3 linked regions of the Xenopus tropicalis genome follow. The protein of the gene in region 2 interacts with the protein of the main gene of each other region in a pairwise test. Links are inferred from orthologs where the notes say so. Each region holds a gene or a part of one and is shown on either strand. Other genes may lie near its edges.

The links.
Region 1: the proteins of mos (region 2) and sec24c interact in binary tests that used the Homo sapiens proteins (3 or more experiments, as listed by UniProt). The two-hybrid records come from large-scale screens. The link is inferred for Xenopus tropicalis from reciprocal best matches to the Homo sapiens genes MOS and SEC24C.
Region 3: the proteins of mos (region 2) and mtmr9 interact in binary tests that used the Homo sapiens proteins (3 or more experiments, as listed by UniProt). The link is inferred for Xenopus tropicalis from reciprocal best matches to the Homo sapiens genes MOS and MTMR9.

Annotation. Positions count from the first base shown.
Region 1 is NC_030683.2:44,243,057-44,246,816, reverse strand, and holds part of sec24c (protein transport protein Sec24C), read left to right. Parts: intron 1-183; coding exon 184-328; intron 329-1,165; coding exon 1,166-1,341; intron 1,342-1,599; coding exon 1,600-2,058; intron 2,059-3,301; coding exon 3,302-3,456; intron 3,457-3,760. UniProt on the Homo sapiens protein: Component of the coat protein complex II (COPII) which promotes the formation of transport vesicles from the endoplasmic reticulum (ER).
Region 2 is NC_030682.2:115,736,065-115,740,257, forward strand, and holds the start of mos (proto-oncogene serine/threonine-protein kinase mos), read right to left. Parts: upstream 2,948-4,193; 5' UTR 2,735-2,947; coding exon 1,667-2,734; 3' UTR 1-1,666.
Region 3 is NC_030681.2:150,904,391-150,908,150, forward strand, and holds part of mtmr9 (myotubularin-related protein 9), read right to left. Parts: intron 2,119-3,760; coding exon 2,010-2,118; intron 1,207-2,009; coding exon 1,081-1,206; intron 1-1,080. UniProt on the Homo sapiens protein: Acts as an adapter for myotubularin-related phosphatases. Increases lipid phosphatase MTMR6 catalytic activity, specifically towards phosphatidylinositol 3,5-bisphosphate and MTMR6 binding affinity for phosphorylated phosphatidylinositols.

The sequences.
Region 1 (3,760 bases), on a different chromosome or scaffold from region 2:
GAATACTAACTTCCAGCTTCATGCACTTTTATCTATTTGCTGTTCTTTAGGTCAGCAAATTGTCATTTATACCACTAACAGAAAATAGTTTCAATAAATACATTTTTCTTTTTAATCTTACATTTACATCTATTGATTATGTTTATTAATTTTAACTGCATACATTTTTATAATGTGCTTTAGGTCATCATGGGAACCTCATGGGAGCACCACCTGTATCAGCTGCACCTACAATAGCAGGGCAGTCTCTTCCAGCTGAACAGGAGCTGTACAGTCAGTATGGGCAAGGAGATATACACAATGGGCCAGTAACAAATCAGATGCAAAGGTATGAATACCCATCAACATTCTTATATCTTATGTCTTAAGGGGCATGTCAACCACAAAAATAATTTTTTGCATAATGAAAGAAAACATAATTCTAAGCAACTTTCCAATATGAAATAATTAAAAATTTGTAGCGCTTTAAATGTTATTTGTAAATGTAATTGCTATTGAAAGCAGCATTTGCTAAACTCCTGGTTGTTACATTTTAAACAATGTTACAAAGGTCTTGCTTCTCCAGCAATACAGGTCTGTCAGTTTGCTGCCTTGTGTTACATTGTTTCAACAGTCTGAGCCACCAGGGCAGAGATTAGAAAAGGACAGGCAAACACTGCTTCTAATAGCAATTATAAATATAAATAACTCAAAAACCATTACAAACTTGTAATAAATGTATATTGCAAAGTTGCTTAGAATTTTGGTTTCTTTTATTAGGCAAAAAAATATATTTTGCGTTGCCTTGTCCTTTAATGCAAAGTGTTTGTTTCCTACAGTAGCACACACATGTATGTGTATATATTTGTGTTAAAAAGATTCCATAGTTACACTTCATTTTTTTATGGATGACTGGAAAGAATATTCTTTTTGCTTTGCTTTATGTATTTTTTTTTTGGCCTTTCAGACCTTTTTGATGCCTATCATGATTTAGGAGAAAAAGCATTGTAATGTGAATGGTAATTAACCTGAAGTTTACTCTCAATTGAGTTGTTGTGTCAAGTACCCTGTACACATGAAACCTATCTGACTCAGAGCTTTTGAAGTTTAATGGATGACAACAATCCTATGAAATATTTTTCTTTAATTATTCATTTCATGCATCAATTCATCTTTATTTCCACAGACCTCCAGTGTCAATGCGATATATGCAACCAGGTACAGGACCACAAGCAGCAAGTTTTCAGCCATATACTCCATCATCAGCCAGTGCACAGCAACAGCAACTGACCAATCAAATGATGGGAATGCAAATTGGTAACATTGCAGCATCAACACCAACATCAACAGCAATGGGTTATGGTAATTCTTTATATTCATTATATTTTTTTTTCTATTTAGACTCAAGCTACCTACTCAAAGTTGCACTAATGCATAAAGGTGCACTAATTGCATATTGAATGAATTTAAATCTAGTCACTGCAGCTTTTAACTGGTGTTTCTGCAATTTAGAAGATTATAATATCATGTATCAGATGCCTAGTTTGGGAAGTGAGTTAATACACATTTATATCATTGTAATTTATTGTAAAGAATTCAAATATTTTGCAACCCCCACAGGTTCTCAGAATCCTCTGCAGCCCAGTTCAGGAAACTTTCCTACTGCAGGATCCGGCTTTCAACCTTCATATTCCAATAGCCAAGGTCCTCCTCCAATAAATTTGACACAGGGAATGCCTCCTACTAGTCTGCCTCAAAGCCAACCACCACAGCAGCGTTTTGCCAGTGGACCACCTCCACAGAACCTTCCTTCTTCACAAGCTCCAGGTTTCCCTCCACCATCAGCTGCTCAAATGCCACCAAGTTATGTGTCTCCTTCTGGAGGTCCTCAACAACCAGTAACACAGGGTCCACCTTTGTCTGGACAGGCTCTACCTGCTCCCCCATTAGCTCATCCAAACCTTGCTTCCCCTACACAACCACCAATGCCTGGAGTTCCACTAATACCTACAATGACTGGTCCTCAGGGACCACCCCCTCATATGCCATCCAGTCAGGATGGATTTTCTCAGCAGAATGGTAAGTCATTGGAAAGGAGATGACATTTGATTCTATGATCTGTATATGTACTACATAAAAGTATCCCATATAATAGTAATGTACTGGCACTTAGTGTTTTGATTGTATTACTGGCAAAGCTTTTCTTGAGTAATGCAGATCAAGGTGCTTGATGCTAAACTAAGTTAACTAAACTAAGTTAAAGACATGTTTTTGTTCTGTAAAAGAGTATGCTGAACCCACATTGATTTATATGTAAATGGGTCTGCTGCAGGGCTATCCATTATGCAGCATTTTTGGGGCAATTGCTTTATAATATATGGACTACTTGACAGCAAGAGAAAACTAGCACTTGGAGGGCTGAAAATTCACTGTTTTACTGCTTATATTAACAAATGATAGTCCACGCATGCAAGGGGATCGCCAGTGGAAAGGCATACTCATCACTTCAACCAAAGCAATGCGTTGGCCTTTCCAATGATGAAACCCTTTGTTGCTGGTTGAAAGGCACTTTGAAGAGATTAGTGGGCCTGGTAGCAGAGATTTATCTTGGGCGATTAGTTCCTCCATGGGGCATTAGCCTTATAAGTGGGAGCCAGAAGTAAGTTGTTATTGCTTTCCTTGTCAGGCATTTTCCTTATATATCTATATGTCTGCATTCCTAGTGGTTTAAATAGTGTCTTTAAATATAAGTGTATAAATACACTTTACTTTCATCTATTAGTTTATTTAACAGACAATAAATGAAACTGTATATTTTAATAGGGTCATTTTTATGGTTAAAGAACAAGGAAAGGCTATATCACTTGGGGGTGCCAAAATGCTAGGCACCCCCAAGTGACTTTAATCGCTTACCTTGTACCCCGGGCTTGTGCCCCTGTTAGGAGAAAACAACACCAGCCCGTGGTACCTGTAGCGGAGAGCTTACTCCTTCCACCTGTGTTTTGCAAGGACTACACGACAGGCGCATGCGCAGTAGAGTGAAAAGCCGACTTCTCTGTTAAAGTTTGACTTTTCACTCACTCACGCGAGCAAAGAGGGAAGGAGGAAGCACTGCGGCTACCCCGTGCTGGTGCTGTTCTCTCCTAACAGGGGCATCAGCCCGGGGTAAAAGGTAGGTGATTTAAGTCACTTGTGGGTGCCTAACATTTTGGCACCCCCAAGTGACTTTGCCTTTCCTTCTCCTTTAAGGGAATGGATGGTAGTAAACACCCGAATAGCACAATTTTTAATATAATTCATTACCATTTATTCCCACATTCAGGTTCATTTGGGCAGGTCAAGGGTCCTCAGCCAGGATATCCTGTGACGTACCCACGTGCTCCAAACTATGGCAGCCAACCAGGACTCCAAGGTCCTCCTGCACCACCACCACCAGCTCCACAAAAAAGACTCGACCCAGATTCCATTCCCAGTCCTGTAAGTATTTCCATAATTTGCACACATTTCTACAAAACAGTAATGTATAGAAAAAGTAGTTACTTTATTTCTAATATGCTTGTGAGTAGCATTTTAAAGGCACATTACTATACTAAACCTTATTCGTTATTCATGTTTTTTTTTTATAGCTGTTTTGACAGTATCTTAACCTTGTGTATGTTGCATTCTACAATACTGGAAATTTACCTCATGGATAACTCATTCAGATGTGTAACAGTTTCTACTATTGATGTGGAACTTGGTGTGCGCTGGAATTTATTTGTCCACTGATTAGACACCTAGT
Region 2 (4,193 bases):
ATGTATGGTGTAGACTATTGCACACTACAGTTGTACTACGGACTGCACCAACATCACACGTAGGGACAATAATTGTACAATTCAGTTCACTGCTCGGAGAATGGGAATATGGATGAAAGCATTTCCCATATAAAATAAGGGACACCGAGATGCTCAGTTTGTACTATATCATGGGAAGGGCCTTTCTACTTATGTTACCTGAGAATAGGTGGTTGTGGAACTGAGATTGCCAGAATTGCTTAGTTGTTGGCTTAAGTGCGATGGTTCAGCTGATCCCTGCCTACAGTCTGGAATAATAAATGACAGGAATATCACAATCTTCTACCTATGAATGCACTTGGATTTACAAGTAACTAGTTTCCTCCACAATACAAAAAAAATGAAATACCAAACAAGGATAACGAATGACAGCACTATATGGCATGACCATTTTGTGAGGGAAACCCTTGCTTCCTACATTTAGCATCATAAAGTGCATATGAGAAGAGAACACACATAAAACACCAGACACACATAAAACACTGAAAAATAGGCCCATTCCTGCTACTGATCTAAATGCAATTCAGTTGTATGAATACAGTGGCTGTGTATGGGCTTATACATTAGCCGGCCAATACAATCACTACTGAAATGATCATAGGACAGCGCCAGCATGTAGCTTCTAACATAGCTGGTGTGAACAGCCCCCAGGAAAAGGAATTAATCCCACACAAATCAGAAGAGTAAGTCAAGCCCAAGATAAAAATGCAGACAATGAAATGTGCAAAACATATTTGACTCAGTGCCACACATTCAGAAACCCATTATGGCTAATGCCAAGTCTTGGCCTGGGAAAGCTCTACCAACCCAGCGGGTCTCATAAGGTGCAGTTAGTTTGTGCCACCAGGTGTTAACCAGTTCCTATAGTCCCTGCAAAGTATTCAGCTGCTTGGAATGCAGGTAGTCTGGGGCAGATTCCAAGGCACAGGCATCCCAGAGCACCTAGTCATCATTCAGACCCTCTGGCCAAGCAAGGTGTCTCCTTAGTGCCCACTGCTACATGACTGTGTGGAACCCAGCAACTTGATCTGATCCCTGGGATTCTTTCAGTCTGGTGTGGATCCCTGTACTGCATCTGTATGGCCAAGTCTGTGGGAGCCAGTGGTACAAAATAAGTCCTGCACTGGGGCTAGATCTCCTGTGGCACAGTTACTGAATGGATCCCTGTTCTAGGTTTACATGCCCTGTGCTGCAGCCCTGAGGGGGTCCCTGTACTGGGGCTGTATATCCTGTACTATAGTGCTGAGGGGGTCCCTGTACTGGGGCTGTATATCCTGTACTATAGTGCTGAGGGGATCCCTGTACTGGGGCTGTATATCCTGTACTATAGTGCTGAGGGGGTCCCTGTACTGGGGCTGTATATCCTGTACTATAGTGCTGAGGGGGTCCCTGTACTGGGGCTGTATATCCTGTACTATAGTGCTGAGGGGGTCCCTGTACTGGGGCTGTATATCCTGTACTATAGTGCTGAGGGGGTCCCTGTACTGGGGCTGTATATCCTGTACTATAGTGCCGAGGGGGTCCCTGTACTGGGGCTGTATATCCTGTACTATAGTGCTGAGGGGGTCCCTGTACTGGGGCTGTATATCCTGTACTATAGTGCTGAGGGGGTCCCTGCGCTGGGTCTCTATGGGCCTCTATGGGCAGCGCTAAGAGGAGGGGAGGTATACTGAGCGCTAGGGGAGGAAGAGACCCCTCTGTACAGGGCAGATTCCTGCTCCAGTCTCTCCAGCAGTTGCTCGGCACTCGGTCTCTCCTCAGGTCGGGCTGCCCAACAGCTCTGCACAATGTGCCGGACCGCTCTGCCCTCCTCCGTGCAGCTGAATAACGGGCCCATCTCCGGCCGCAGAGCATAGGCCACTACCGCATAGAGAACGCACTGGCGGTCCCCGGTGTAGGGCAACTCCCGGCTCACCATCTGCCACAGGGTAATGGCGAACGAGTAGATATCGGCTTTGGCAGTGACGGGTTCTCCCTTGAGCAGCTCCGGGGCTCGGTGGGTGTAGGTCCCCCCGACATGGCGGAGTTGGGTGCAACACGGCTCCCCCCCAGCAGAATCCCCATCCCGGAGCCTCTGAGAGCAGCCGAAATCCCCGATCTTACACAGGCCCCCCGGGGCAAGCAGGACATTGGCCGGTTTCAGATCCAGATGCACCACCCCATCCCGGTGCAGAAAGCACAGTCCGTCGGCGACGTGTCGGGCATAGCGCATACACACGGCAGCCCCCAGCGGCGGGCAGCGCCCATAGATACGGCCATGCAGGGTGTCGGTCCCGGCGTATTCCATGATAATGGTACCGGGGCAGCCGGGGTCCCCGGGGCAAGAGGCGCTGGCGGCCAGGACGCGCACCACATGCGGATGGCGGAGCCGGGCTGCGTTCAGTTCGGCCCAGAAGCTCTGCCGGGAGGCCAGGCTGTTCTTGGTGCAACGCTTCACCTTCTTCAGCGCCACGGTCTCCCCTTTGTATATGGCCCGGTACACGGAGCCGAACCCCCCGGAACCCACCGGCTCCAGCAGCCGCACCTGCTCCCAGTCAATACTGCACCAGGCCAGGCGGGGAGGGAGGAGGCGGTGGCGGCCGCTGCCCGGCACTTTGCGGTGGCTCAGTTCCAGCGGGCTGCTGCATGGCCTCAGGTCTATGGATGGGGACAGGTCCCGGGGCAGGAAGCGCTCCACAGGGATAGGGGAAGGCATGGTGCAAAGCGGGGCTGTTAATGCGCCGGTAATATGCAGCGCTACTGGGGGAGGGGCCGGCGCACTCTCATGTATATGTACCTAGCGCCGCTCTCTGCTGGGACACGCAATCAGCCAGCCGGCGGCCCACCTGCGCCAATCAGCTCACTGGGCTTTCTACTTTGCCTTTCTGCAGCTGCCTGAGCCGCATACATATTAACCTGCCCAATCAGCCACATCCATCATATTAGCCAAATAGCGCTTTCTCCCAGTGTATTCTATAGAGCTGGGCCAAAAGCACCCAATGCAAAGGCGCACAGTGTGCGCTAATCCCCTGGGGCTGAGTTGCTGCCACATGGCCCCATTCAGTCAGCAATGGCACATGTATAAATGTATCCAGTTCAGGGCCAGACTGACAATCTGTGGATTCTGGCAAATGCCACAGGGGCTGCTGAAGATGCCATAGGCCAGAGATCCCCAACCAGTGGCTCAGGGGCAACATGTTGCTCCCCAACCCCTTGGGTGTTGCTCTCAGTGCCCCCAAACCAGGGAGTTATTTTTGAATTCCTGACTTGGGGGCAAGTTTTGGTTGAATGAAAACAAGATTTCCTACCAAATAAAGCCCCCTGTTAGCTGATAGTGTGCATAGAGGCTGCCTAATAGCCAATCACAGCCCTTATTTGGCACCTCCATGAACTTTTATGGTGCTTGTGTTGCTCTCCAAGTCTTTTTACATTTGACTGTGGCTCACGAGTAAAAAAAAAAAGGTTGGGGATCCCTGCCATAGACAGTCATTATTTAGTGGAGGGGGGGGACGGGACTCTGTGTACTTGGAATACTAGGGCCTATTTTTAGTACCAATCCAGACCTGTTCCAGTATCCTGAAGGCACAGTGACCCAAATTACAAAAAGACCCCTTACCCAGAAGGCCCTGGCTCCAACGCATTATAGATAATAGGTGCATTACCTGTAGTAATAAAACAACAAGGCCAGGGAATGAGCATGAATCAATCTCATGTCAGTCACATGCCCATCACTCAGCACAGAAACCAAGCAGCTCCCATCTGCCGATGCCCCATGTTGGCCAGTGTGTGGGGCTCAAACAGCTCCTTTCCTCCTGTCTCATCATCTGTGCTTTTTTAACAATTTAAAAAATAAAACAATCTGAACAATAGAAAGATGGCAATACCATGTATGTCCCTGCCTATTCAGCCCAAGGGCCGATTGGTTGGAGGGTGCGCCTGATGTATGGGCTGCCCTATAATATATATATATTAGCCATATAAATGGGATTCTTCATGTCAGTATCGCTAAATGTGTGCCCACAACAGTGTTACTTTGTACTCTAACTGCCATGGCCTTTTCTTATACACAGTTTTACGTGTTGTTTATACATTTTTTTTATGTTTGCTACTCAAAATTATCACCAATTTCGCCCCATAAAAATAAAATAATTTTTGCTTCCACCCCACACTGTGCA
Region 3 (3,760 bases), on a different chromosome or scaffold from region 2:
CAGGTTAACTTTTAGCATGTTATAGAATGGCCAATTCTCAGCATTTCTTTAATTGGTCTTCACTTTTTATTTTCTATAGTTTTTGAATTTTTTCCCCTCTTTCAAATAGGGGTCAGTGACCCCGGCAGCCAAAAACTATTGCTCTGTGAGGCTACAGTTTTGCTGTTATTGTTACTTTTTATCACTTATCTTTCTATATAGGCCCTCCTCTATTCATATTCCTGTCTCTCTTTCAAACCACTGCCTTGGTTGCTAGGTTGAATCCAACCCTAGCAACCAGATAGCTGATAATATTCCAAACTGGAGAGCTGTTGAACAAAAGGCTAAATAATTTAATAGCAAATAATTACAAATGAGGACCAAGTTGCAAACTGTCTCATGATAGCGCTGTCTACATTATAATAAAAGTAAAAAGTGATCTACTCCTGTAAGTAAAAAAAGCACAGTTACTATACCAGCAATACCGAGCCACGTTTATCTATGTGGGACACACATTGCCTGTAATTCACTAATACTGACTGTTTGTCCAGCCTCCCCCATATCATGCTGGTACTCCGTGCTTCAGTATAAGCGGGCTTGTGTTTACTACTTAACTGGCCAATCAAAACACAGCACACGTGGCCCCAAAGCAGCACCAGGCAGAACAGTAAGAGGGTGCATGGGGGTGCAGGGAATTAGGCAGAAATGTTATTTTATTAAAGTACATGGAACAATACGGAATGTGTGTGGCAAAAAGACACTCATTATTATCAGTCCTACTTGCTCACTTCCTTCCTCCCTGTACATCACTGCAAGTTACCCCTACAGACACAAGCTGACAATTACGATAAAAAGCCGCTATCTGTCAGCAAGTGGCACAGTTTCTCTGGATAGGGTGCATGGCCCAGGCCTGATAAGCTGTCAGCTTGGCACCGTGGCATGGCACCACCAGAGAATGCAGCATTATCGCTATATCCTTATAATAAAGACAGGGAGTTAGAGACACTAACAAGTCCAAATAAGCATAACCTCAGAGCTTACAAAATAAAAGCAAAGGCACAAAAAGGAATGATACCATTGGCTACAGAGAAGCCCACTTACCTCTAGGGCCAGTTGCTCAAATTCTTGCTCAGGGAGAAACAGGCTCCACCCATTCTCTGTTACCTCAAACATGGGCCGGTAGAAGAAGGGGTACATCAGAGTGACGGAATCCAGGGTAGACAGGGCCTGCGCGGGTCAGCAAAAACAGGGCGTTAGTGATGCTAATGTGCCAACACTAATGGTGGCCACACATGGGCCAAGGCCTCAGAAAGAGGGAGCTGCTTACTGGACGCTGAAAGGACAATGAACCCCCTGACAAATATCTGGCAGGTTTGAAAAGGCCTTTGGATGAGGACAGCACCGGGGCATTGCAGCAGGCATAACAGACCTTGCACAGGTCCCTATTGTCATCCAATTACAGTCAGATTTAAACCTATATACTTAGTAGACAGGTCAGAGTCTAAAAGCATAATATAGAGCGAGCACTGCCTGCTGCCTCCTGTATATTTGTATTTATAGTCTTGATGTGGAGCTGCCATGCCGATTCCCATCTATCAATTTATACATACAAATATACAGAGATGGAATGTTCTGGGCACACAATAAGCTGTACCCTACTGGAAACAAAATGGCAGCACTCATCTCTATATAAGTTTGTTGAAAAAGAGAAGGACTGATTTGGGCTTAGAGGAGGGTGGAACCAACAAAGTCAGTTCTGACTGGACAAGGGAGGCCTAAGATATATGCACTGGGCTACTGGCTGCGGCCAGGGATACAGTAGCCACATGTATATATGAAGCTAGAGTTGAAAGAAAAAGTTTGGGGTGTCAGAGATTTTACAGCTCTGAAACTGTTGACAGACGACCTCTATCTAATGGCTAGTAAGGCCTAATGAGGTAAGGAGACCTTGTAAGAACAGTTTCACTGAATAAGTGGAAAGGGGTCCAAACTTTGTACAGCGGCAATGACAAATAAAAGGTCTTTCTTACCTCAATGGAGCTTGCGATGTTCAGGCACTCCTCCATTCCACTGATTTCCAGCTGGATTATCCGCAGGTCCTTACTTTTAATGGTGATGGTTCCAGATGTGCCCACAAACCTGTAATATATACTGAGAGGTCAACAAAAAATTCTGCCATGGCTTTATATGGGCACAGAACCTCTCAGTGACTGCTAATATCCTTATCATTTACAGTAGGGGGTACATTATCCCTTATAATACATGAGTGATACTCAGAGTTCCCTGTATAACTCAGCCTGCAGCCTTGTGCCTTTATATGGGCACAGAACCCCTCAGTGACTGCTAATATCCTTATCATTTACAGTAGGGGGGACATTATCCCTTATAATACATGAGTGATACTCAGAGTTCCCTGTATAACTCAGCCTGCAGCCTTGTGCCTTTATATGGGCACAGAACCCCTCAGTGACTGCTAATATCCTTATCATTTACAGTAGGGGGTACATTATCCCTTATAATACATGAGTGATACTCAGAGTTCTGTGCCCATATAAAGGCACAAGGCTGCAGGCTGAGTTATACAGGGAACTCTGAGTATCACTCATGTATTATAAGGGATAATGTACCCCCTACTGTAAATGATAAGGATATTAGCAGTCACTGAGGGGTTCTGTGCCCATATAAAGGCACAAGGTTCTGTGCCCCCCATATAAAGGCAGTGCTGTCCAACTTCTGCGGTGCCGAGGGCCGGAATTTCTCTCGCATACATGGTGGAGGGCCGCTAATGGAAGCCAGTTTTGGCCACTCCCCCATTTTAAACCACACCCATTTTATCACAATGGTCGCTGCAGGGATATCAACCATCATTCATATGTTAAAGAATTATATTATGTCATATTAAGACATACCCTTAAATCCATATGCCTCCTCCCCTGTGTGTAGCACAGCAACCCCCAGCACATAATTACACACCTTAGGGACCATATAATGACTATTTCCAACTGCTAACAAACTCCCACAAACCCCTGCCAGGTTCACCTCCCACAGGCAGCATAGGGTAGGCAGAGTATGGCACACACAGGCAGCACTCTGCCTGTCCTATGCTGCCTGTGTGTTCCATACCCTCCCTGCCCTATACTGTCTATGTACCATACTATGCCTACCCTATGCTGCCTGAGTGTGCCATACCCTCCCTGCCCTTAATGGTGATGGTTCCAGATGTGCCCACAAACCTGTAATATATACTGAGAGGTCAACAAAAAATTCTGCCATGGCTTTATATGGGCACAGAACCTCTCAGTGACTGCTAATATCCTTATCATTTACAGTAGGGGGTACATTATCCCTTATAATACATGAGTGATACTCAGAGTTCCCTGTATAACTCAGCCTGCAGCCTTGTGCCTTTATATGGGCACAGAACCCCTCAGTGACTGCTAATATCCTTATCATTTACAGTAGGGGGGACATTATCCCTTATAATACATGAGTGATACTCAGAGTTCCCTGTATAACTCAGCCTGCAGCCTTGTGCCTTTATATGGGGGGCACAGAACCCCTCAGTGACTGCTAATATCCTTATCATTTACAGTAGGGGGTACATTATCCCTTATAATACATGAGTGATACTCAGAGTTCCCTGTATAACTCAGCCTGCAGCCTTGTGCCTTTATATGGGCACAGAACCTCTCAGTGACTGCTAATATCCTTATCATTTACAGTAGGGGGTACATTATCCCTTATAATACATGAGTGATACTCAGAGTTCCCTGTATAACTC